Astyanax mexicanus: one gene and its partners. The protein of the gene in region 2 purifies or fractionates together with the protein of the main gene of each other region. This does not show direct contact. Links are inferred from orthologs where the notes say so. Each region holds a gene or a part of one and is shown on either strand. Other genes may lie near its edges. The genes, in order: sod1, prdx5 and park7.

Region 1 (8,666 bases), on a different chromosome or scaffold from region 2:
TCTCTATCACGATATGTTTTTTTAATATAACGATATTTTTTGTTACGATATATTGTATACAATATAATATTGCCCACCCCTAGTCTGGATGCCTGTATTTATGGCCATATTAAAACGTTATTAAAATGTTTATTAACTTTTTTTGTTCTGACAGGGATGAACATGCAGAGTCCACCAGGGCTCTTGGGTTCAAGACCAGGTATGATGCCTCTCCAACGTCCCCCAGGGATGCCCCCTCCACACCTTCAGCGTTTCCCCATGGCTCCACGGCCAGGCATGCCCCCCATGCCTCCACAGATGATGGCTCCCAGGGGCCCTCCTCAGATGATGCATCATCGAGAGCCTCCACCAAGTGGATTTGGCATGCATCCCCCTCCACATGTCATGCGAGGCCCTTTTCCTCACCCAGGGCCTCCGTTCATGAGGCCTACTGGCCCCAGAGGACCAGACGGACCTGAAGATCCTGAGGGACGGCCCTTCAGGGGTGAGCATTCCGGGCCGGCCCGGGAGCGAGACAGGGATCAGGAATGGTTTGGTGGACGCAGGTCGTTTGGCGAGGGCCGTGGAGGGGACAAGTTGGAAGGGCGGGAACGCTTCGGGAGCTGGAACGAGGAGGCAGAGCAGAGGGGTGGGTGGGACAGGACACGGGAGCGCAGAGACTGGAGAAGGAGTCCGGACGGAGAGAGGGAACAAGGACGAGAGCAAGGTAGGGAGGGTGAGGAGCGACCCAAACGCAGAGACAGGGAATCGGGAACGCGAGAGCGAAGTACCCGCTGGGACAAGGATGACAGACTTGACAGACTGGCTAATATGGGCACTCAGTCCAACGCAGGCAGTCAACCCAACGGACATGAGGCGCTCGGAGACTCTAGCAGCTCGGAGCAGTCTAGAGACTCTGCTAAAGAACTTACTCAAGCCAAGGCAGAAGCTCCGCCCCCTCCCACCGAAGTGACTGCAGAACCACAGCCCTCTGAACCGGCAGCAGAAACTCAGAACCAACCTGCAGAACAAACAAAGACAGACGAATCATAGGCTACGCTTATCCCCTGGACTGCAATGCCCATATGATATTTGTTCTTTTTGTTTTCTTACTTGACAAGATGCACATGTTTGTGTGAACATTTGCCTAAACACCATTTAGAATGGTAATGGAAAGACATGAGTATCAAGCATCACATGGGTTCAAACCTGAAAATAAAGGCCAGATATTTAAGGTAGAAGAACATCGGGTAAAAGCCATGTAGATAGTATGTTTATTTTACATCCATGTCCTGGCTAATCTTGGACACTACAGGCTAAAGAGGTGAAACGATGCAGAAACAACTTGATTTATATGGTTTGTGGTCCTATAGAAATAAATTATATGCCTTGTCCCCCTTCTAAAATGTCAAAATCAATGATCCTGTAATTGACTTTTAAGAGTCTGGCTAACATGGAGCACTGCTCTGTAATCAGTGTTCCATTGTGGAGCTTGAATGTTGCTTTAAACCAGTGTTTCCCAGTCCTGATCCTGGACCACCCTTGCACTGCTCTATTTGTTTTTTTTTTCTGCTCACACACATTTGTAGATTAATAAACAACTTGTTTATTGGTTAACAAGTTAAATCAGAGGGGTAGGACCCAAGGAAAATACAAAAAATATTCAGTGCAGATATACTCTAAGTCTAGAGTGTGCACCAGTCATTCTAAAAAGGTAAATTAAAAAAAAGAAAGAAAAAGAAACACATGGGGGTAAAAATTTAAGAAGGAAATAATCTGCTGTAAATATGCTTCCACTACTCAAATGACCTTTGTAGATTTGGAGGTAAGGTGTGTTTTTGAAGTATTCCCCATGAACATGGAGAAGATAGGAAACCTTGACTAAAATAAGAGACAAAGACCCTTTTGCTGTAATGTTTTTAACTTGCCATGTTTACATCGTGCGAAAATGAGATGTTTGTATAATTTTTAAGTTTGTGGAGATGTGAACTTGTTTAATATTTCAGCAATAGGGATTTGGTTTTAATAAACTATTTTCATACCAAAATGAACAAACTGACTAAGCACTTGTTTTTTCAGATGCTTTAGTTTTAAGGTTCTTTAACTGAATGATTTCCTCATCTGAATTTTTCATTTTGTGTGGACTGTATGTTCTCTGGCGATGTGTAAATTTGATTTACTACATGCATATTACGAAACTTATTTTCTTACATTGTGACATACTTTTGAATTATTTACATTACATTTTTAGAGTATTCAGAAATTTTGACAAACAGTAAATGAAAGTGATGATTTTTTAAATCTTTTTTTCCACAGATGAGTCAATTTTCATATATTTTTGTTCCTGAAAAATAAGTAATTGCATGAGTTTGAACCACCACCTAGCATATTCTGTGTTGTTTGTCTTCATAGCAAATTTGTGTTGAGTAGGATGGGGTTATAGTGACCTTCAGTAGATGTATTTGTCGTGCAAATGTTTCACCAGCACAAATTCTTTCCTTTTATTTACTTGTGCTATATTAGAAGGCAGTAAATGAGTGCCTGTTGTTATTAACAGAAATTATACGTAAAGGCAGACCATTAACAGTGCACTTGATACAAAACTAAACTTATTAGTTATTAAATGATGTAAACTATGTTCATCCAAATGCTGCAGTATTTCACAAAGCGAGCATTGACAGGCTGACCCCCCCCCCCCCCCCCTCCCCCCCTTTTTAACCTCTGCAGCAGTGCTGGCAGAACTTGTATGTCTCTTTTCAAAAGCCAACCTCTGGATATTACGCTGAACATGTGAACTCAACTTCTTTGGTCGACACTTGAGTCGATCCTCTCCAGTTAAACTGCTCTATGGTTTTAGCCACCAAGCTGCAATTTAAATTTCAAAGCGTTGGCAATCTTATTATTTCCCAGGCCATTCTCATAGTTCTTTGTCATGAGGTGCCATGTTGAACTTCCAGTAACCAGTATGAGAGAGTGTGACGGTGATTAAAACCTAAATTTAACACTCCCGCTCTCCATTCACACCTGACACCTTGTGAAACTAACTTCTCACATGACATTGGGATAGAAAATGGTTCATTGGAAACAATTTGGTCAGTTTCACTTGTACTCACTTTTGTTGCCGGCGCTTTAGATATTAGTTGCTGTGTGTTGAGTTATTTTGACTACTTGACACTCACTTGTCAGATACTGTAACTCTTAAGGAGAAGACAAATCTTCATAACTGAAGGTCAGTGTAAAAAGATTTTTTATTTCAGGTAATTTTGGAGAATTTGAATTGGTCTTTATATCATGACCGTGTGACTCAGTGAAAAGATTAAAAAAAAAGTAAATACAACAAGTAGAGAAAAAAAATGGAGATCCTAAGTTTTTGTTTGACAGCAACAATGTGAATATAAATGAGGGAAGTGATGACTTTTAAAGGTAATAATAAGAGGAAATGCTAACTGATGAAAAAGGGAACAAGTTTAACCACTATTCCGTTGTTGGGTAGAATCAGTCAGTTTATAGAGAGCCTGCTCACGTCTTGTATCACCTGTTATATCAGAAATGACAGCAGAATACCCATGAGTGAGTCTAAATTGTTGAAAGGGTGTGAATTAAGTTAATTGGCTAAAATCAGCTTAAAATAATAACCAATCACAATTTTGAAAATTAATCAGGTTTTAAGCAGTAAAGGTGTTAGCATTACAGCTACTGTGGTTAGTGAGCTGAAGCTGGAGATACAGCCTGAATAGCAAGTTTAAAAGGTTTATAACTGCCGTTTAAAAGCATTAAAAATAATAAAATAACACCTGCAGTGCTGAAACATTTGATATTGCTCTCTAAAGTAGCTAATGGTAATGCTAACATTACATTCATGTAATGTTTTGGATTAGCCAGTCTAGCACACACAGCAGAAACTGGTTAATCTGGTCTTGTTAAAACTGTAAGCAGTCTACTTTCTGCTGTACGTCAGACCTATATCAGATCTTTATCATTTTCACACTAATTATTTATTTGTTTTGAATAAAATTTGTCAAAAAATCGATCGATATTTGCTTTTATTGTTTTTTTTTTACAGCTAAGATGTGATATATTAACAAATTCCTAATAAGGAAATCATGCTATGCCAAGTAAAATTATCTAGACTTCTGAACCTCTAAAAACTCTTTAATAGTAAGTTATTACACCAAATGTTTATTTAAGACAGTTTAACCAGAGTTTAGAGAAGATTCTGGATCTGAAAATTACATATTAAAATAGTGGACAAATACATGCAGAGTTTTGTACAAATAATAGTTACTTAAGACAAGGGATTTGTTCAGGTCCGTTCATAATTAAAAAAAGAGTGAAATCTGCACTGCATTTATTTTGTTGTAGTCAGGTTGTATTTATCAGTGTTGTTAATGGAAAATAATTAATCCTAAATTTGTTTGTAAAGCTGCACTGACTTTGGACTTGATATAACACAGTGGACCAACACTAGCAGAAGACTACGACTCTTCAAACCATCAGATGTGGGTTTCACTTTTAAGCAGGACTTGGCACATGGCCCACACTGCCAAAACCAAAGGGTTTGTATAATATTCTAATTATAATCATTTGAGACACTAATTAAGCCATAATAATCAACAATAAAAGAACGCTTAAAATATATAATTCTGTGTGTAATACATCTATATAATAAATGAGTTTCACATTTTTAACTAATTACTGAAATAAAGTAACTTTTCAATGATATTCTAATTTTTGGAGATACACATGTATTATGTATTTATTCATTCGTTTATTTGCTCATTGTTCTTTTTACAGAATGTATGTTATTTATGTTATTTTAATATATAATTATGCCTTCCCTAAAAAAATCTGATTTAAAATAATAATTTTTTTATCAGATTATATGAGCTAGCAGTCGACGCGCTATCTTTTCGCTTGAGCTTCTAGCCAATCATCATCACCGGTCTAATTTATGCCTGGCCTCTTAGCCAATCAGCTGCCCCGCTGCGATCCGCGGTTGTGATTGGCTGGAGAGAAGTACGTCGCTTCTCGCCTTATCAAACAGCGCTGGGCGGTGAGTCGGGTTTTTGAGCTCAGTTCAGAGGGTCAGTTCTACAGAGCTCTGATAAACATGGTGCATAAGGCTGTGTGTGTGCTGAAGGGGACCGGAGAGGTGACCGGAACGGTGTTCTTTGAGCAGGTAGATGAATAATTGCGGTGTTTTACACTTTTCTGTGCAGGAGTGCGCGAGCTGGCTGTGCTAGCTAACCTGCTGAGTTGCTGTGTCAACTCGGCGCGAGCCCGCAGACTCCGAGCGGTGTGCACTGCTTCAGCTGGGTTACTAGCTAATGCTAACTAACATGTTAGATAATACCCGGGTCTTTAGTGCTTTAGAGCGCGTCCTGCAGGTTTTTTAATCACCAAACCTGATTTGTTGACGTTTTTAGCTCATATAAGGACAGTATCCGGTGTTCTGTCGAGTTATGCTACCATGTCAAAACCGCGCTACCTTAGTGTAAGTTATATTTAACTGGAAAAAATACAAAAAAAGAACAATTTTAGAGAACGTTCCCAGCAGATCTCTCAGTAAGTTAGATGCGGGTTAGTATATTTGAACAGAATAAATCACTGTATCATGTTAAAGTTATGTCAATGAGAGGTCTTTACAAACTGCTTTTGTATTTTCTTTTTCAATAATAGTAAATTGTATTTATTATTATTGTCGATTTAATTTTGCGCTTTTGTGCAATGCTAGCGAGGCCAGATTGTTTACCGCACAAAAAATTATTCATTATAAAGAAAAAACAGAAGAAATAATTAAATGGTGTAGGTCAGCGCATGCGCAGTGCCTTTAGGAAGCATATCTCGATGGGTAGCATAACTTGACAGAACACCGGTGTAGCTCTGCTCCTCCTCCGCTAGCGAGCCCCGTGGTTAGCAGCTATGCTGTGTGGTTTGCTAAGTGTTTTGTAACGAGCGCAGCGGCATTTCATACAGACCTTGCTAATCCTGCTGCACCTTTCTGTGTGTTAATGCAAGCTAAATCTCCTGCTCCATAAATCTCACTTTAGTCACAAACACGGGAAAACTATGGTTTATATATTTAGTTCTAGTTAAATCAACTAGGTTAGGTTACAGTTTATGCTCCTCGTCATTAAACATAGCACTGCTAATTACCTAACGTTACATGTATCATAGTATTAGCTCGACTAACTACTGTTGGATAAGTGTAGTAATAAGTAATAGCTGTGTGGGGAAAAGGCATAATCACCAGATCAGAGTTTAAACTGGGTAAAAGGGAGTTAACCTCTGCACGGCCGCAGACCCAAGTCCAAACTTCTTGCTGAGTCATTTGCATCGTGCGGTTAATTCATCCAAAAAAACGAGTTTGCAAGTTGAACATGCACAAACTAAACAGCCTAGAGCTGGAGCATTGCGTATAACTCGTTTTATTAAATAATATCACGGTATTTCGTGGTATTTTTTTTATTCTCGATAACGATACAAAATAAAAATACAAGAATTCTATCAAATCTCATTGTCATTGTACTATTTATGCACTCCAGATATCTCCATATATCCAGGACTAAAGTAAATTAAATGATACTGGACAGATATTATCTGTCTCTAGTAGATACATATAATGAACAATGAGAACAGTGTGAATGTTTCTTTAAAAGTACTACCCTAATGTGATAAGAGGTGGGTGATACGGCACGATATTTCCAGGTATAATAACGTTTACGATATTCAAAAATGTTGGCGATATAATTGTGAATGATACAATATGACACACCCCTACTCTTTATAATTGTTTAACTGATATATATATATATATATATATATATATATATATATATATATATATATATATATATTAAGGGTGGATTATCTAACTATATAGGAGCTAGTATTCATCTTCTATCTATCAATAAAACCATGTCACAGTTGTAGCTACAAAGCTGTGAGTAGTTAACATTAGCTTAGTTAGGTTATCAATTTAGAGACTTTAAAATGTGCCCTCAGTTTAACAATTTATAAAATAGTTTTTAATGAATTTAAACAATGCACTTTTCTATATTTCACAATAAATTCTGTCATTCATTTTAACAGACTATACTTTGATATGTATATCGGGGATATCATCTATATATATATATATATATATATATATATATATATATATATATATATATATATATATATATATATATATATATATATAAAATGTGTGTTTTTTTTTTTTTTAAGTATATACATATAGTGCAGATAAGATAAAGTCAGATAAGTTATGATTATGGTAGATTGTGACCAGTATTATTGCACAAGGACTAACAGTGAATAAATAGCAAATGAATAGTAGATGAAAGGTGAGAAATATTGCACAGTAAACATATTGCACAAATGGTGATAAAGAGAACATGGTACACATGGTGAATTTGCACATTGCACACAATACAGCTATACTGAGCAAGTAGTTTTCATGTAGTAATAAAATAGTAAACGAGTGTTTACTGAGAGCATGGTGTGTTGTACAGTCTGATGGTGTGTGGGAGGAAGGACTTGCAGTATTTCTCCTTCACACACTGCTGGTGCATGGGTTTGGGACAGGTTCTTTAGCATGTACTAAAACTTAGACCTCAATCTCCTGTCTCTCACCACCTCCACTGGATCCAGAGGACCCCAGGACAGAGCTGGGCTTGCTAGTTTGGTATTGCACAGTCCTGCAAGGTCACTTTTGCATATGCATGCCAAAAGATGTACAGTACTGTGCCATCCTGTACATTTCTGTTCCTAGAGGTAGCAAATGTGTAACAAAACGTGTGTTTGTTAGAGACTGACAGTAAGTGCTCTGGTGTTTCAGGGTGATGGTGCTCCAGTAAAGGTTTCAGGTGAGATCACTGGCCTCACTCCTGGCCTGCACGGATTTCACGTCCATGCTTTTGGAGATAACACAAATGGTGAGTTTTTTTTTTTTACCCTCTGATGTATTAAAAGCTTAATTACAATTACTGAGATGTTTAATAATACTTTCACTTCAAAATCAGATCATGTCACTGTGATGTGTTGCTTGAAGTATGCTCACAAACAGTAATGACCGTGCTGTTTTACTGTTAGGTTGCATCAGTGCTGGGCCACACTATAACCCATACAACAAAACCCATGGTGGACCTACTGATGAAATCAGGTATGTGTACTTTGTATTTACCCACAGAAAGCCTACTTTCTTTGTACTGCTCTTCATGATTATACAGTGCCAATTGTTGCACATGTCCTGACTTGCATACCGACACACTGTAAAATCTGCACTTGGTTTCAGTGTAACAAACTAATTTAAAATGCAAGTCAGATAAACACTTCTGCACTTATGCACAGTCATATGACTGCTTCAGACACTACTTTGTTTGAAAAAGTAACTAATCTTTTCTAAGCTAGGATTGTAACATAAATGATAGGGGTGATTTGATTTGGATGTGGTTGATTCTAAATCGGTTCACAAATGCCCAAAATCGATTCAGACCATCGTGTTTTTGCATTTTGATCTCCTAGTGCTCTTGTGCAAGTCTATGTTCTAAAGTAAGTGTATTTGCAGCAAAATTGGCTCTATTAAGTATGGCTATAGGGAGGGCTGAATACTTTTGTATGTCACACTAGGGGTGGGCGATATGGCTCTAAAATAATATCACGATATTTCAGGGTATTTTTGC
Region 2 (8,202 bases):
AGATTTAAAATAGAACATAAACAAGTTTTACATCTATATAAACATGACCAGGTCTAATTAACTTAACTCAGATATACCAGAAAGACTGCTGCCTATTTGTAGAACAGTGTAACATTTTGAAAATGTTTGGAGTGCTATTAAATAGGCAATTATTATATCACAGCACTAAATTCTTAAAGACTTCATTCTCATGTCTACCAGATATATGTTTCAAGTGATATTACTGTATCATTTTCGAGTAATTGGATACCAAACTTTATATATTGGTTTATGCACAATCGAATAGACATTTTTCCTAAGTTTGGTATCCAATTACTCGAGAATGATACAGTAATATTATGAGATTGTATAACAGTAGGACTGCAAAATTAGCTTTATGCACCACTGAACAGACAATTTTCTAAGTTTGACATCACATACATCACTCTACAATAAGATAGTGATATCACTTGATACTTATAAAATTAATAGAATGGAATGTTTCCTTAAAAGTGCAATAACAATTTGATTTGCTGGTTTTGTAGGACTCTGAAATCTGGTTTATGCACATACAATTAGACATTTTTTTTTTCTAAATTTGGTATCCAATTACTCCAGTGGAATCTTAAATCAACCAATAATCCCAGTCATTAGAATGTCCTTCAAAGCTAAAAGTGGTGGGGTGGTGTTTGTCAATAACTAGGCAGTGTGTGTGCCACACAATTTTGTTACATTTTGGAACTAAAGAAGCTTCAAATTTGACAGAATTTTAGACAAAAAATAAATGTGTTTTTCTGTAATAGTGAATCTTTTGTAAGCAAAACGCAAAGCAATTCATTTCATTTCTTCACAATTGATCCAACAGCACTCACTGCTGCCTGTCTCAGATTTACAATCTGGCCAATAGTACTTGATTTAAGGATGATGTATTTACAGAAAACGTGTTTTTTTATTATTATTATTATTTTTTTGCCACCCAGTATATTCTAACATAAGACTTTGTTTTCAACATTTACGTGTAGAATGAGTTACACTGCTCTGTGAGTTATTACCAGAGACTGTAAAAAAGATGGACGCCGTGTCTCCGTTCCCATTCATTCAATGAAAATGAAGCCAAAATCTTCCGCCATGTTGGCGATCCTGCCACCTGATTCTGCGCAGTAGAGACCAGAGGAGGGAGAAAGACTGTGGAGAGCAGCCTACTCATTTAAATAACCCCGCCCCCGAGGGCTGCCTCGCGGTCACAGACTGCAGAGCGGGGCGGAGCGGAGCTGACGGTCTGTTATTGGTCCCGCCCATAACCAGCCCTTTTACCATAACCACACGTTTTTTGAATAGAGCTGAATAATGTTTTAAAAACCAAATTCTGTGGGGATATAAAAAATTGACAATATAAGCAGAGGTTACACTAGCTGCTGCATTTAAATAATGGAGGTAGAATTACAGAATATTAGAAAAAAACGTGATTGAATGTTGTCTGTTTTGCCATTGAAACCTATGGGAATGGGTGGAGTTACACAGCTTTCTGCAGCCGAACAGCAGGGGGCGCCCGACCTGTGGTGGCTTCACTTTTAAGAGACGATGCTCTGTCCAGCTATATACAGTCTATGGTTATTACCCTTAACTTGGACTTGGATTGGCTGTTTTTCTGTGGGACTTGCAGACAGGCCTTTTGGTTAGCTGTTTTTTTGTATGTCCAGCTGACAGGCATTCTGGTTCGCTGTTTTTGGGACTAGCTGCCTAAATCTATGATTGGCTGTTTTTTTCTGTAGGTCTAGCTGACAGGATATCTGATTGGCGTTTTTTATCTGTGGAACTAGCTGACGGGCTAGATCTATGACTTGCTTTTTCTTATATGTCCAGGTGACTGACAATCTGATTGGCTGTTCGTTTTCCATGGGACCAGAGCCATAGAGAGAGAGTCGCGACAACGGAAGTTCAAAATCCTTGATGGTCACGTGATTCATGGAGATTTCAGATAGTTCCAGGAAGTTCTTGGTGGGCAATTTGAGCCCATAAACACAGAGATTGCGATTTTGGGGCACTAATAATAATATATAAATAATCCTCAATGAATTATCTATGTATAATGAAATAATATATATATATATATATATATATATATATTATTTCATTATACATAGATAATTCATTGAGGATTATTGTGACCATATATTGACTTATTTAAGGCTTATGTTATTCTGTGTGAATCCAATATTGTAATCCATAAGAGAGTTTTTATAGGCTAAATTTGTATGTTAATTAATATTAATTTCATGACACCGTGCAAATGCAGTCGCTACAAGTAAAATTTTACTTTACAAGTAAAATTTTAGGTTCAAAAGAAGATGGAGAAGTTTTGGCTTGCATATATTTAGAGTTTACTGCAAAAATAACTTAATCAAAGGATACAAAGATCTGCAAATATTCTTAAGTCACCACCTGAATATTTCATGCAGAATTATTTGGATTAAGAAAGAGGAACCACATTATTTGCAACAGCTTTATTATTTTTACAACAAACATGAGATGATATATAACTTTAAAGACTGATATCAGAATATAGAGAGGCTACATATAGAAAAACAAAGTACAGAACACATGTAAATCAACTAAAGGAAAATAGTACATTGCACATGTAAATAAACCAAAGAATCACCACAGATTACATAAAATGGGGTTTACTTGTGTAGTTCGGAAGAATGAACCCTGAGGAATACAAAAGCAGAAAGAGAATAAGAAAATTGAGACATGATTGCATTTAATACATGAATACAATTAAACATTTTGGAAACATTATCTACATTTTACTATTATTATTTTTATTTAATATAAAATGAAGACAAGAAAGATGATTGTATTAAAGTTGTTATATTTTGTATTCATTATTTACTTATTTTATATTTATATAAAACAAACAATAACACACACTTATATTTATTGGGTTTGTTTTTGGCACACTATTACTAGTGTATCTCAGAAAACCTGAATATAATGATTTTTTTTTCTATCATAGTTTAATAAAAAAAATCTGTCAAATTTTATAATCACTACATATAAAGAGACATATCCCAAACTGTTTTTGTTTTACTTTTCTAAAAGCTCATGAAAAAAAAACAGAAATAATAAATCCCTAAAATATTTAATTTAAAACTTAAAATATAAATTGTTAGATGTGTCACTGTAAGCATAATTAATACAAAAGATGACTGTTAATTAAACAATATTAAACATTTCTTTTGAGATGCACTACTATTAAACATAACTAATTATGCTATCTTAAATTACACATGCATTGGAAAGTGTTTATCCTACTGTTGACAATATAGCCTATATCCTTAATCAAACATATATAATAAAATAAATATTGGTCATATCACCTTAAATCATATCTCTGTTAAATTAGTAGTTACTAAGACAAACAGTAAGATAGCTAGTTAGCGTTAGCTACCTGAGCAATAGGTAGCTATCATTTAGCTAAATTCTGCAGTACTACTTAGTACTTAGTTTCCACAGTAGTCTGTATTTATTAAGCATTTATCTCTTGTTAGTGTTTAAAATTCTTTCTGAAATGAATAGAGTTAAGCTTTATTTACCTAGCTAGTTAGGTTAGCATGGTCTACCTGGATATATAAGATATTTATTTAGTTAGCTTAGCATGGTCTATTTGGACATACAAGATATTTACAATATTTAGTTAGCTTAGCATGGTCTACCTGGATATATAAGATATTAAGATATTTAATTAGTTAAGCATGGTATATCTGGATATATAGGATATTGATATATTAGATATTAAGATATGTACTTAGTTAGGTTAGCATGGTCTATCTGAATATATAATATATTGATATATTAGATATTTACTTAGTTAGGTCAGCATTGTCTATCTGGATATATAAGATATTAAGATATTTAGGAATTTACAACTAATAGGCTCTCAGTCATTAATGTTAAATGCCAGTAACTGTATTCGCGTTGTCCTGGCATAGATTTACTCCCCTAAATCTGCTTTTTACTAAAATGCTTCAGTGCACATGTTAGTTTGTTTCTGATGTCCTGATAAAACACAATCAGATTATTTAAGCGTACTAACCTGTAAAAGTGGACCACACATGGTGTATCCTGCTCCAGCTTCACTGTGCTGATAGTATTTGCTGCTAACTTCCGGGAACTATTGACAGGCTCCACGGTCCGCCATTGCTGTAAAAAACTGGTCCATTGGAGTGAACGGAGTTGACGCAACTCTCTCTAGCTGTATAGGTCTATGATTGGCTGTGTTTTTCTGTAAGTTTAGCTGACAGAATATCTTATTGGCTATTTTTCTTGTATGTTTATGTAATTGTTTACCTGATTGGCGGTTGTCCTGTATATCTAGCTAACAGACGATCTGATAGGTTGTTTTTTTCTGCGGGACTAGCTGCCTAGCTCTCTGATTGGCTGTTTCTTCTGTCTGTTTAGTTGACAGGGTATCTTATTGGCTGTTTTTTCTGTGGGAATAACTGTCAGGTTTTTTGATTGGCTGTTTTTTCGTATGTCTAGTTGACAGGGTATCAGATTGGCTGTTTTGTTCTGTGGAAATAACTGTCAGTTTTTTTTAGATTGGCTGTTTATTCTGTTTGTCTAGCTGAGAGACTATCTGATTGGCTGGTTTCCTGTGGGGCTAATTGACTGACTGTCTGATTGGATGCTTTTCTGAGGGATGAGCTGACTGTCAGACTGGGTGTCAGACAGGCCTCTCCTTGCTCGTGTTTTCCGTTGTTTGCTCTTCATATAAAAGCAGATGATCACTCTTTCAGCTGTACTGAGAGGAAGCCGTGCAGTCAGCTGCATCAGAGCCCTTCACACCACACTCACTGTAAACATGCCGATCAAGGTAGGAGCAGTAATTTCCGTAATTATAACTAGTTAAGATGGGTAATAGGGCCTTAAAATAGCTGTGGAGGGACACATGACGATGGGCTTAGTGTGTGTTAGAGCTCCTGATGTGTTTATTTAGTTCAGAACTGAAATACTAGCGGCCATTCTGCCTGTGAGACGCATTTTTAATAGCTGTGCAGATGTGTTTTAATATTGCAGCTGATATTTTTAGAGATGGATGTGCTAGTCACCACGCTGTAGATTAGATTAGAGACAGGCCTGAGTGTAAATATATGTGATATATTCCTGTAACAGGTAATGTTAGCCTAGATATGACTGTCTGACCTGGATAGCTTTAGCTGCTAAAAGCTACATTCAACGATCATGTGAGTAACTATTTGTTTTATAAACGACATCTTTTATAACCCGTTTCATATCCAGCTATCTAAGCACAAACTGAGATCTAGCATGTTGTCTAATAACTTAATATCACGGATTATTTCAATTAAGCACAAAATAAACCACTTTATAGCCTTAAAAATATATAAGCAGAATCGGTCCATCGTCAACAAGCGTTTGTGTGCGTTCACAATAGCGACGTGTTGCTGTCAGAAACAGATGCGGCCTCAGCTAAGCCTTTTCTCCTGAGTGGAGTGGAGTGGGGGGCATTTAGACTCAGTTTTAGAGTCTAATAATGTCTTTGTGACAGGTTGGAGAGAGTCTACCAGCTGTGGAGGTCCAAGAAGGAGCCCCAGATAAGAAAGTGTCCATGGATCAGCTGTTTAAGGGGAAAAAGGGGGTCCTGTTTGCAGTGCCGGGGGCTTTTACTCCTGGATGCTCCAAGGTAACACAGACAAACACACAAGACCTCAACACACAGTGTGTCCAAAAACTGCAAAGACATCTCTTCTACTAAAAATATCCAACTATTTAAACCCATTGACCCCCTGCTATGTCAATCAGTTATTAATCCTAATGCAGAAAAAAATAAAATATTGGAGCATTCATTTGCAGAAAATGAGAAATGGCTGAATAAAAAAAAGATGCAGAGCTTTCGGACCTCAAATAATGCAAAGAAAACAATTTTAAGAGTTCAGAAATCAATGTTTGGTGGAATAACCCTGGTTTTTAATCACAGTTTTCATGCATCTTCGCATGTTTTCCTCCACCAGTCTCACACACTGCTTTTGGATAATTTATGCCACTCCTGGTGCAAAAATTCAAGAACTTTAGCTTGGTTTGATGGCTTGTGATCATACATCGTCCTCTTGATTAAATTTCAGAGTTTTTTAGTTTGGTAAAATCATAGAAAATCCTCATCATTAAGTGGTCTGGATTTTCCAGCTATGTATATCATTTTGCTTGTGGAATCCCACAGGATTTCATGCCAGTGCCTCTGAAATTGATGTTAATTATGACGGTAATGGCATTACATGCTACAGCATCTAAGATGTTAATAAGTCCATAATAAGTCCACCCCTATCCAATCCAAAAAATTATGAACAGCTAGAGGGTTATAATGCCCACCAACTTTTGGGATTTTAGTGAAACGTAGATTGATTACTTTTCGGATGCACTATTGTCATGTTTATGATCTAGAGCTAATTCAACATTAGTACCTACTTGACATTTTAAATATTTTTTTGTAATAATAATAATAATAGTATAAATCTTCAAACTAAATCACTTACCTAAAGACTTTAAAGTTTTACCGCAACTGGTTTGACAGTTCTTGAATTTTAAAGTTGAGGCTACAAAAACATTTAGACTAGAAAATCTTGTATGGGAATTCCATTTAAAATGTCCTACTTGGAACGCAGTAACTCTGACATCCCAGATCAAATCGATCACAGATCTATTTCAGAAGAAATGGTATTATCTGGATATTTAGGCTGTATGAAACTAAAGAAATGTTGCCTACTCAGACAAGAAGCTCCTCAGTCATGTCTGAATTGAAGTTCAATAATTGAACCTTCTGTTTTATTGTGTGAAAATGCTAATGAATAATGTCAAAACAGATAAAGCGTCATTACTTAAAAAGTCAGGACATATGGTTCCCAATTGGATTTGGATACAGAGACCCTTTTTACAACTAGCAAGACATTAAATCAGCATTTCTTGCATTTTAGAGACAGAAATAATGTCTTTTCTCTAGAACACTAATTAAAAAATACAGAATACATATATATGAAAACATTATAGTAATAGTCTTCAGTGTAACCATGTCGCTGTGGTTCTGACACATCCCCTGTCTCACCAGACTCACCTCCCGGGGTTTGTGGAGGAAGCTGGACAGCTGAAGAGTAAAGGCGTGCAGGAGGTGGCCTGCATATCTGTAAATGACGCTTTTGTCATGGCTGCATGGGGCAAGGAGCATGGCACTGATGGCAAGGTAAGTCAGGCAGCCAGGCAGGTTAAAATAATGAAAATCTAATGAGAACAATAGTCTGTTTAGTTTACTGTTGGATCCAGGGCAATTATGCATTATGACTCATTGCTGATGTCAGTTTCTCATAAGGAAACATGAATTAGTTGATGAGGAAACAGACGGTGGGTTATGAGATGCTGGAAGTGTTTTCTTTAACTACCAGTTGGCACACTGATTGCATTTAATGTTTCGTAAGCCATTTTTATCAGTCAGTTTCCTTGTGAAGTCTCCAATGTTTCTCAATTCCACCGCAGTTGTCCTAAAAAAAATAGACAATTGATGATTGAGTCATTGTGGTGAATGACTGTAGAGACAAGGAAGCTTTTAACAATAAAACTGACTATTTAAAACTTCTATTTTAAAACCCCTCTATTTTATTATAGGTACGAATGCTGGCAGATCCTACCGGCGCATTCACTGCGGTAAGAATGTTCATACTTTTGATATTCCGTCACTCAGATTTGTAATCAGTTCTGTTGACAGAAAAAATATTATGGAAACTCCCATGCATGTAACCCTTGCCAGCCCAGGATTGAGCAATAGGATTGTGTGGTTTGTTCTATATTAGCCACTTGTTCCTCATACTTGCAGCTTTATATCATGTATTGATGTCTAAATCAATTCTAACTGCTTCTTTCTACTTTTGCAGGCAGTTGATCTCTTTCTGGATAATGATGAAATCCTCCAAGTTCTTGGCAATAAGAGATCCAAAAGGTAAGAATCTGTAAAATGTGTATATATTAACTGATCCTAGGTTTACTTTGGGTGGTAGATGCCATGTTATAAGAGGGGAAATAATTTTGCTTGAAATTTGAAGAATACTGCACTGGCCTGTGGGATCTTCTGCTAGACGCCACTGGTCACAATCATTAATGTCATTATGCCGAGACATATTCCTAGTACACGCATACATACACTAACATTTCTCAATTTGC
Region 3 (8,677 bases), on a different chromosome or scaffold from region 2:
TAAAATGCTGTATCTGTAACTACTATAGTATTATTTTTAATTCACTACTGTACTTAAGTACTAAAATGCTGTATCTGTATCTACTGGAGTATTTTTTACTTCACTACTGTACTTAGGTACTAAAATGCTGTATCTGTATCTACTGGAGTATTATTTTTACTTTACTACTATGTACTTAAGTACTAAAATGCTGTATCTGTATCTACTGGAGTATTTTTTTACTTCACTACTGTACTTAAGTACTAAAATGCTGTATCTGTATCTACTATAGTATTATTTTTACTTCACTACTGTACTTAAGTACTAAAATGCTGTATCTGTAACTACTGGAGTATTTTTTTTACTTCACTACTGTACTTAAGTAATAAAATGCTGTATCTGTATCTACTGGAGTATTATTTTTACTTTACTACTATGTACTTAAGTACTAAAATGCTGTATCTGTAACTACTATAGTATTATTTTTAATTCACTACTGTACTTAAGTACTAAAATGCTGTATCTGTATCTACTGGAGTATTTTTTACTTCACTACTGTACTTAGGTACTTAAATACTGTATCTGTATCTACTATAGTATTATTTTTACTTCACTACTGTACTTAAGTAATAAAATGCTGTATCTGTAACTACTGGAGTATTTTTTTACTTCACTACTGTACTTAAGTACTAAAATGCTGTATCTGTATCTACTATAGTATTATTTTTACTTCACTACTGTACTTAAGTAATAAAATGCTGTATCTGTAACTACTGGAGTATTTTTTTTTACTTCACTACTGTACTTAAGTAATAAAATGCTGTATCTGTATCTACTGGAGTATTATTTTTACTTTACTACTATGTACTTAAGTACTAAAATGCTGTATCTGTATCTACTGGAGTATTATTTTTACTACACTACTGTACTTAATTACTAAAATGCTCTATCTGTATCTACTGAACTATTATTTTTACTTCACTACTGTGTACTTAAGTACTAAAATGCTGTATCTGTAACTACTGGAGTATTATTTTTGCTTCACTACTGTACTTAATTACTAAAATGATGTATCTGTATCTACTGGAGTATTATTTTTACTTCACTACTGTGTACTTAAGTACTAGAATGCTGTATCTGTATCTACTGGAGTATTATTTTTACTTCACTACTGTACTTAAGTACTTAAATACTGTATCTGTATCTACTGGAGTATTATTTTTACTTCACTACTGTACTTAAGTACTAAAATTATGTATCTGTATCTACATAGCTGAGCGAATCAAGCCATGATCTTATAAGCTGCTGTCTGTCTGCAATATGATATTTAAACATTTGACTTTCTGTAATAACTACATAACACATTACTGTACTTTCACATTCAGTACTACAGTACTATTCGTACATTTTAGAATACTTTAGTACAAAAAAATATACTTTCTACAGTATACTTAAAGGTACTTCCACTTAGTTGTGGTTGCTTAAAGAGCTCTTTAACTTCTTTGATCGAACACTTTTTTTACTCAGATCTGGGTCTTTACTATTGTATACATGTCTGCTTTGAGGCACCACTTTAGCATTGTGCTAACTACATGTGCAACAGTAACAATACAAGCTTTCACCACACTGTATATCAGGGTCAATATCAATATAATGTGCCTTTTTTATCTTAGCATAATTGTTTAAATTTCATACAAACACTGTGTAACACTACCTTTTTCAGAATTTAAAACTTTGACTCTGAATGATTGATAGATAGATAGATAGATAGATAGATAGATAGATAGATAGATAGATAGATAGATAGATAGATAGATAGATAGATAGATAGATAGATAGATAGATAGATAGATAGATAGATACTTTATTGATCCCGAAGGAAATTTAGCAGCCAGTAGCAGTTACACAACACAGTCGAAACAAACAGTACACAGTAGAAACAAACAATAAGTATTATAAAATAAAATAAAAGAGCACAGTGAGGAATATAAGACTCTAAACTATAAAATTATAAACTGAGACTTAAAAATATATACATAAATATATAAATACAAAAAAACTATACAAAGTGTGAAAGTAATCAGTCATAGATATGAGGTAGTGCAGTAAAATAATAATTTAAGTATAGAAGGTATCAGCAGATATGACAATATTAAACATAAACCTGTGCAAGTATTGAATTTAAGTAAGGTGCGTAGTGTAGTGTCCAGGAGTGCAAAAGTACAGGATGTACAGTAAAGTGACAAAGTGTCCAGGGGTGCAAATGTACAAGATGTACAGTAAAGTGTCCAGGAGTGAAAAGGTACAGAGTGTACAGTAAAGTGCCAAGTGTCCAGGGATGCAAATGAACAGCACATGAGCACATTATTACAAATATAGAGGAATGGTAATCTCCACATAATCAGAAGTTATTTATATATTTTCTACAGTTTTTGATACAATTTTATATATGTAGGATTTTGCCATCTCCACAGGGCAGCCAGGTCATGAACATATTTTTTAAGTATGTTTTTGTATAGTGAATCTGATTGTGGTTGGATGAGAAGTATAAACATGTACCATTCCAAAACCCTGTTGGTTTTAGCAGGTATCCAATCAGAAGTCATATTTTTGTATCGAGACAACACCAGTAGGAGGAAGTTGTGAAATTGGTAAAATACATACTGTACTAAATACAGGTAGGCCTCACTAGTAAAAAAAAAAAACCTGAAACTCATTTCAGATGCTCACTACTGTCTCTGCTTGGCCTTGGAAAGTGCCTGTGCATCATAACCAGCGCCGCAGCAGCCAAGACAAAGTTGAGTGTACGTGGTGGATGCATCTGCTGTGGCTAATTCCACGCCGCCGTCCTGCGCAGATGGTTCAGCGGGTGAATTTGCATCGTCAGTGTTTCGCAGCCTAATCCGGGGCCTTCACAGGTTACCTGGTTTACAAGCAACTTTAATAGGCGTTTTGCATACTATAAGCTCCTTATATAAAGGCAGGGTGGGGTGGAGGGGGCAGAAATAAATAAATAAAGCCTATGTTTAGGGAAATGAGCTGATGTGGAGCGGCGCGGTGGGCTCGCAGAGATCCCAGCTGCATATGCTGGTAAATCGCTGCTGCCTGCTGGATTTGGGCACGGGCACAGTGTGAGCAGGCCGCTGCCAGAACCCCACGCTTCGGTCTAATCTGCTGCTGTATAGCACTGTGGTCTGGTGCCTATATGGGCGACTGAGCATCTGTCTGTCTGTGTGTGTGTGTGTGTGTGTGTGAAGCGTGCAGAGCCATGCTAAACATGGGAAAGGTGCCTCTACAATTTTACAGAGAGAAGGAGTGAGGAAGTTTCTTTTTGAACATTCAGAAATACTGGATGAATATTATATATATTTTTTTATTTATATGATTGAGTGCTAATTGTGTCTAAATTTACTGTTTTTGTGATGTTGCATGTATCGGCATATTCGGTATAAAGCACTATAGGTATCCGATATACACATTCACACTAAGAAAAATAAGTACAGATTTGCACTTAAAAGCTTGTCGATGGGGCTGTACCTTATATTAAAGGAGAACTCCAGTGTAAAATTGACTTTAGGTGTAGTAAAACATGATAAACCACCACCGCTCTCCTACAGCTTTCTGAGCGCTGGTAATTTTGTGCTTTTCCCCAGCACTCTAATCTTTACTGGTATAAAAAAAACATGTACAAAAAAGACCTCACTGAAAGATACTCTATTGTACTTTAAAGGAGAACTCCCACTGCCCACCACCGCTCTCCTACAGCTTCCTACAGTTTCCAGCACTCTGTACAAGAGCCGTATCGGGGCATATTTCGGCTCTATACCTCCTTGGTAGAATCCGGAAAGCCCTAACATTTAAAATGTGGCATTAATAATTAAAAAGTGCACAAGAAGCAGCTCAGAGTGCTGCCATCACTGTAGTATATATATATATATATACATTCATAGCCTGCCTCCTGGAACCGGCTGCTACGCTATGCAGAGTATATGTATATATATGTCTGTCATTATCAGTACAGTGATGGCAGCGCTCGGAGCTGAAGCTAGCATTATGCGATGTATACAGTGTTTTTTTGGGCTTCTTGTGCACTTTTTTCAACTTTTCAAGGTATTAATGCCTTATTTTAAATGTCAAGGCTCTCCAAGGATCTAAAAATAATTAGAAGAAGTTCATAAGAATTTCATCATAATGTGATTTACTGATTGATTTAAATCTTAAAGTTAACTAAACAGTAAGCCTACAGTTCATAAACCACAGTTTTAAATACTGCCAATTCATTTAGAACTGATTTGAAAGCAGGACCTGTTTTATATCATAGCCTGCACTGCACTCTGGTGGTCAGATTTTTGGTGGTCTGGTGGTCGGAAATAAACCACAGGACTCATCTTCCCTGTATTAAAAGAGAAATAATATATATATGTTACAACCTTTAAATTAACCTATAATAATAATAATAATAATAATAATAATAATAATAATAATAATAATAATAATAATAATAATAATAATAATAATAATTAAGAAAGCACTCGTCAAATAAAAAAAAAGCAAAATAATTTCTTAAAATGTTCTAGTGACTTGAAAAAAAATGGCGAAATTATGTATAGAGTAAACTGAATCTGAAATGTCTCCATTCAAGTTGCCATATGATAAATTATGTCATTATACGTCAAATTAGGTATATCAGTCATTTTAATCGACAACCAACTACGGATGTCAGACCAAAATAGCTTACTATAATAACATTTAACAAATAAATGTATAGATTCTGTCTCTCCAGAGCAAAAAGTACAGGAGCCCGTCTGAATTTTGAATCTTTTATATATAAGGTCATTAACAGGGTTATTGTACTGCTGTTACAATTTTATAGTTTTTTTTTTAACGTTGGGAGTATTAGGACATGATAAATATTGTTTAAAACCCGTATTAACTAGCATTTGTATAGTAGAATATTGGGCCTAATTTCTACTATTAACCTCAAACATCTGAGGGACTTTTGTCTTGCCCATGTGTTTTTCCATTCTCCCGGAAGACAGGACTTTTATTTTGTTTAGAGAAGCTTCAGCCCACTTCTTTGCTCTGTTCTCTGTAGGGGAGACTGCTCTGCTGAAGCATGGCTGCTAAACGGGCTCTGGTGATTCTGTCGAAGGGCGCAGAGGAGATGGAGACGGTTATACCTGTAGATGTGATGCGGAGAGCTGGGGTTAGTAGAAGCTTAGCTTAGCTTAGCTTAGCTTAGCTGTCAGGGCTGTCTAATAGCACTGGGTGCTAACACAAGTGGGGAATAGCCACTGCAAGAATATTTAAACTGATTATTTAAGTGCAATATAAGTGAATAAGCTTTAATAAAAATATTTGGATTGTGTCAAAAGTGATAAACATAAATAAAGGCTTTGTATAGGATTTTTTCCCGTTCCACCTTAAATGGTGAAGCGGTTACGTTCACCATTTAACCCAGAACGTAACACCATTTAAGGTGGAACGGAACATTTCCACAAACCAAAATACTCTGTGAAGCATTTGGCTGGACTATTTATTATTAAGGTAGCTGTTAACTTGCAGTTTCTCAGGCTGGTAACTCTGATTAACTCTTGCTATTCCTTTCCTGGGATGGTCCTGATGAGTGCCACTTCCATCATCATAACATTTTTAATAGTCTTTGCAACGACTGCACTTGAGGATATTTTCTTGAGAATAAGTTCTTGAAATATTTCAAATTGACTTACCTTCATTTCTTCTTGAAGCCATTTTTAAGCAAGTCTTTTCTTAGTTGAGTAGTTCCTGCTTCTCATAATATGAATTAGAACATTACTTAAACAGCTGTTAACTTTACTTAAAAGCCTAAATTCCAGGTGACTCTATCTCATAAACCTGACTGTGCAAAGCTGTGCCCACATCAAATGTTCCACCTTTTTTAAAAGAGTGGACGGCATGGCATAGCAATAATAATCATTGACTAACCAATTCTGGCTTTGTGATTGGCTTCAGTCTAAAATGATTGACATGTCCTCTGCCCTTTGCTTACGCCCACTGGCTCTCTGGCCTGCACCAGAGGTGTTCAGTCAATGCAACTGCATGAGATTTCATAGTAACAGAACAAGGAATCGTCTGTTCCTGTGATGCACATAATATTTTCTTTTTCCATTGCGATGCATTGTTACACCCCTGTTATTTGAAGACCTAGCTGGTCAACCTGAATGCCAACATGAAGCCCAAGTATGTCCATAAGAAATCAAATAGTGCTTACTGCATAGACAATGCTGTTTAACCAATTTGCTTACCATAATAGAGTGTATTTTAGACTGGATCAACCGTATTTCAACCATTTTGACCATCAAATGCCAGCATAGACCATCTTAACCTAGATACTAGAAGAAAGACAAGCGTGTGTCCAATATAAAATGTATCAGGTCACAAAAACAGACCCATGTCTGTCAGTTTCTGGCTCACAGACTGACTGTATGTACTCTGGACAGTTGGCAGAGTGTGGAAGAGGAGTGGAGTGTAGCTAAATGTCAAAGTTTGCTGCTGCTGCTGTCATGGTGAGATAGGCTTTCATTTACAGTGCAACTTAGCCTCCTTCATTAAACTACATATAAATAAGCATGAAGGGCTCTTCAGGGTATTAATCAAGGATATTAACAGTCTTTGACACAAACTTTTCTGCAGTTCCATGCATCCAGAAAGGCTTTGCACTTGACACTCAGTGTTTACTTTAATTTTACTGTATTATTTAAGTATCAAAGACAATACACATTAATTGGCTAATTGTCATTTGCAGTCCATGGGCAGATAGATATTATATAAGAGGATCAGTCTCACAAAGCACTTGCGTTCAACACAATTTAAAATTACAAATAGGCCGGTCACGATAAGAATTCACAGAAATTATTGCGCTACACGATATTTTTGTAATTTTAAGACTATTAAATGCCCCTGACATAACAGAATAGCATAAAAAAAGCAATTATACACTTTTTAAAGACAACACAATTTGAATTAATCATTTAATACAGGGGTGTCCAAACTTTTTTTGTTGGGGGCCAGAAGGAGAAATATATGTGAAGTCACAGGCCACAGACTCTGTAATAAAACAAATAATGAAATATACCACTTTAAATAATAAATTTTCCTGATTACTTTCATTTACACACCATTTTACTTGACTTACTATCTTTATCTATCTTTGACAGTGTTGTGTAAACTAAGATTTTTCAAATTGTTCTTTCATTTCATGATGTCTCTTAATATTAAACTCCTTAATTACGGCAACTTTTAGACCCTTTTGCCCTTTTTCTGCGCTACAACTGTGCACTCTCTGAAGTCACGGTTATTGAGGCATGACAAAATACTGTTCACTGTTATATATATATAAATATGTTTATGCTTCTACCTCTTTTACTGTCTCACAGATTGCTGTTACAGTGGCAGGATTAACAGGGAAGGAACCAGTCCAGTGCAGCCGGGACGTCCTTATCTGCCCAGATTCAAGTCTAGAGGAAGCCTCTAAACAGGTACGAATTTCTTAAATTCCATTGTAATCCATTGTACTGTACTCTGGACAGTATTGCATTTACTAATGATAATGTTTGAGATTTTCAAATGGAATTTCACTCTTTTTAATACCTCTATATAAGTGGATCACATAGCTGTAAACAAAAAATTAACTTGCAGTGGTTTAATGTGAAATGACGATTCAAAATGATCAGAAGCATTTATAAGGGTAACTAGTGGTGGGTGATATGGTCCTAAAATAATATCGCGATATTTCATGGTATTTTCACGATAACGATACTCCTGGTGATATAACAAAACACTGCGTTAAAAAAAATAAAATGTTTCAAGAATACACCACTGAAACAAAATTAAAAAATTATTGTATTAATGCATATGCTATGGCACACCCCTAACTGAGATTTAAACTGAGAATTTTATCAAATATGTAACAGAACACAATGATCCAGAATGTTAATGTACTAAAAATGCACTCCAAATATATCTCCATATATCCAGGACTAAAGTAAAATAAATTATACTGGACAGATATAATCTGTTTCTTGTAGATATATAATGTTAAAAGAGAACAGTTATTTATTTCTTTATTTTTTTTGATAAAACAGCAAAAAGTAGTACCATGATGTGATAATTAGGGGTGAGTGATATGGTGCGATATTTCAGGGTATACTATCATTCACAATGTTCAAAAATGTTGGCGATATTATCGTGTATGATACGATATGGCACACCCCTAAGGGTAACGAGGTAAATCTGAATAAGACATAAGAATTTTAATCTGTGTAGGGTCTTATTGGCTCTATATACATTTGTAAAATAATATTTAATTTAATTTCAAGCAGCTGATGGCAAGCTGCATGTCCGGGATTCGAACCAGTGATCTGATCATGGGGGCAGCGCTTTAGCTTTTATTTGAAATGCTTCAAAAAAGCATTTAGATACATTTTTTTGTTCTATTTACCACCACTGTCAAACATTCTCAACCAGTAAATTTCTGTAGAATTTAGTATATTGCACCAAACCACTTCATATGAATTCATACTGAAGATTTAAACCATAAAGTGGAAATTCAAACTAAGTGACAGTATATGTTTTACTTTATTTTTTAGTTGTAATAAACCTTCACAACATCAACTCTTAATCTGATTAGTAAGAAAATGATTATGTGTATGTTGAAGTT

What was found.
Region 1: the proteins of prdx5 (region 2) and sod1 fractionate together in Homo sapiens (co-fractionation; 3 studies listed by BioGRID and IntAct, with this or other methods). This does not show direct contact. The link is inferred for Astyanax mexicanus from reciprocal best matches to the Homo sapiens genes PRDX5 and SOD1.
Region 3: the proteins of prdx5 (region 2) and park7 fractionate together in Homo sapiens (co-fractionation; 3 studies listed by BioGRID). This does not show direct contact. The link is inferred for Astyanax mexicanus from reciprocal best matches to the Homo sapiens genes PRDX5 and PARK7.

Annotation. Positions count from the first base shown.
Region 1 is NC_064427.1:36,969,822-36,978,487, reverse strand, and holds the start of sod1 (superoxide dismutase [Cu-Zn]), read left to right. Parts: upstream 1-4,993; 5' UTR 4,994-5,089; coding exon 5,090-5,158; intron 5,159-7,822; coding exon 7,823-7,919; intron 7,920-8,076; coding exon 8,077-8,146; intron 8,147-8,666. Other genes in the region: scaf4a (SR-related and CTD-associated factor 4), read left to right, coding at 155-1,032. UniProt on the Homo sapiens protein: Destroys radicals which are normally produced within the cells and which are toxic to biological systems.
Region 2 is NC_064424.1:15,663,430-15,671,631, forward strand, and holds the start of prdx5 (peroxiredoxin-5, mitochondrial), read left to right. Parts: upstream 1-4,678; 5' UTR 4,679-4,762; coding exon 4,763-4,855; intron 4,856-5,548; coding exon 5,549-5,683; intron 5,684-7,099; coding exon 7,100-7,231; intron 7,232-7,650; coding exon 7,651-7,689; intron 7,690-7,916; coding exon 7,917-7,981; intron 7,982-8,202. UniProt on the Homo sapiens protein: Thiol-specific peroxidase that catalyzes the reduction of hydrogen peroxide and organic hydroperoxides to water and alcohols, respectively.
Region 3 is NC_064431.1:4,261,329-4,270,005, reverse strand, and holds the start of park7 (Parkinson disease protein 7 homolog), read left to right. Parts: upstream 1-5,023; 5' UTR 5,024-5,095; coding exon 5,096-5,185; intron 5,186-7,394; coding exon 7,395-7,496; intron 7,497-8,677. UniProt on the Homo sapiens protein: Multifunctional protein with controversial molecular function which plays an important role in cell protection against oxidative stress and cell death acting as oxidative stress sensor and redox-sensitive chaperone and protease.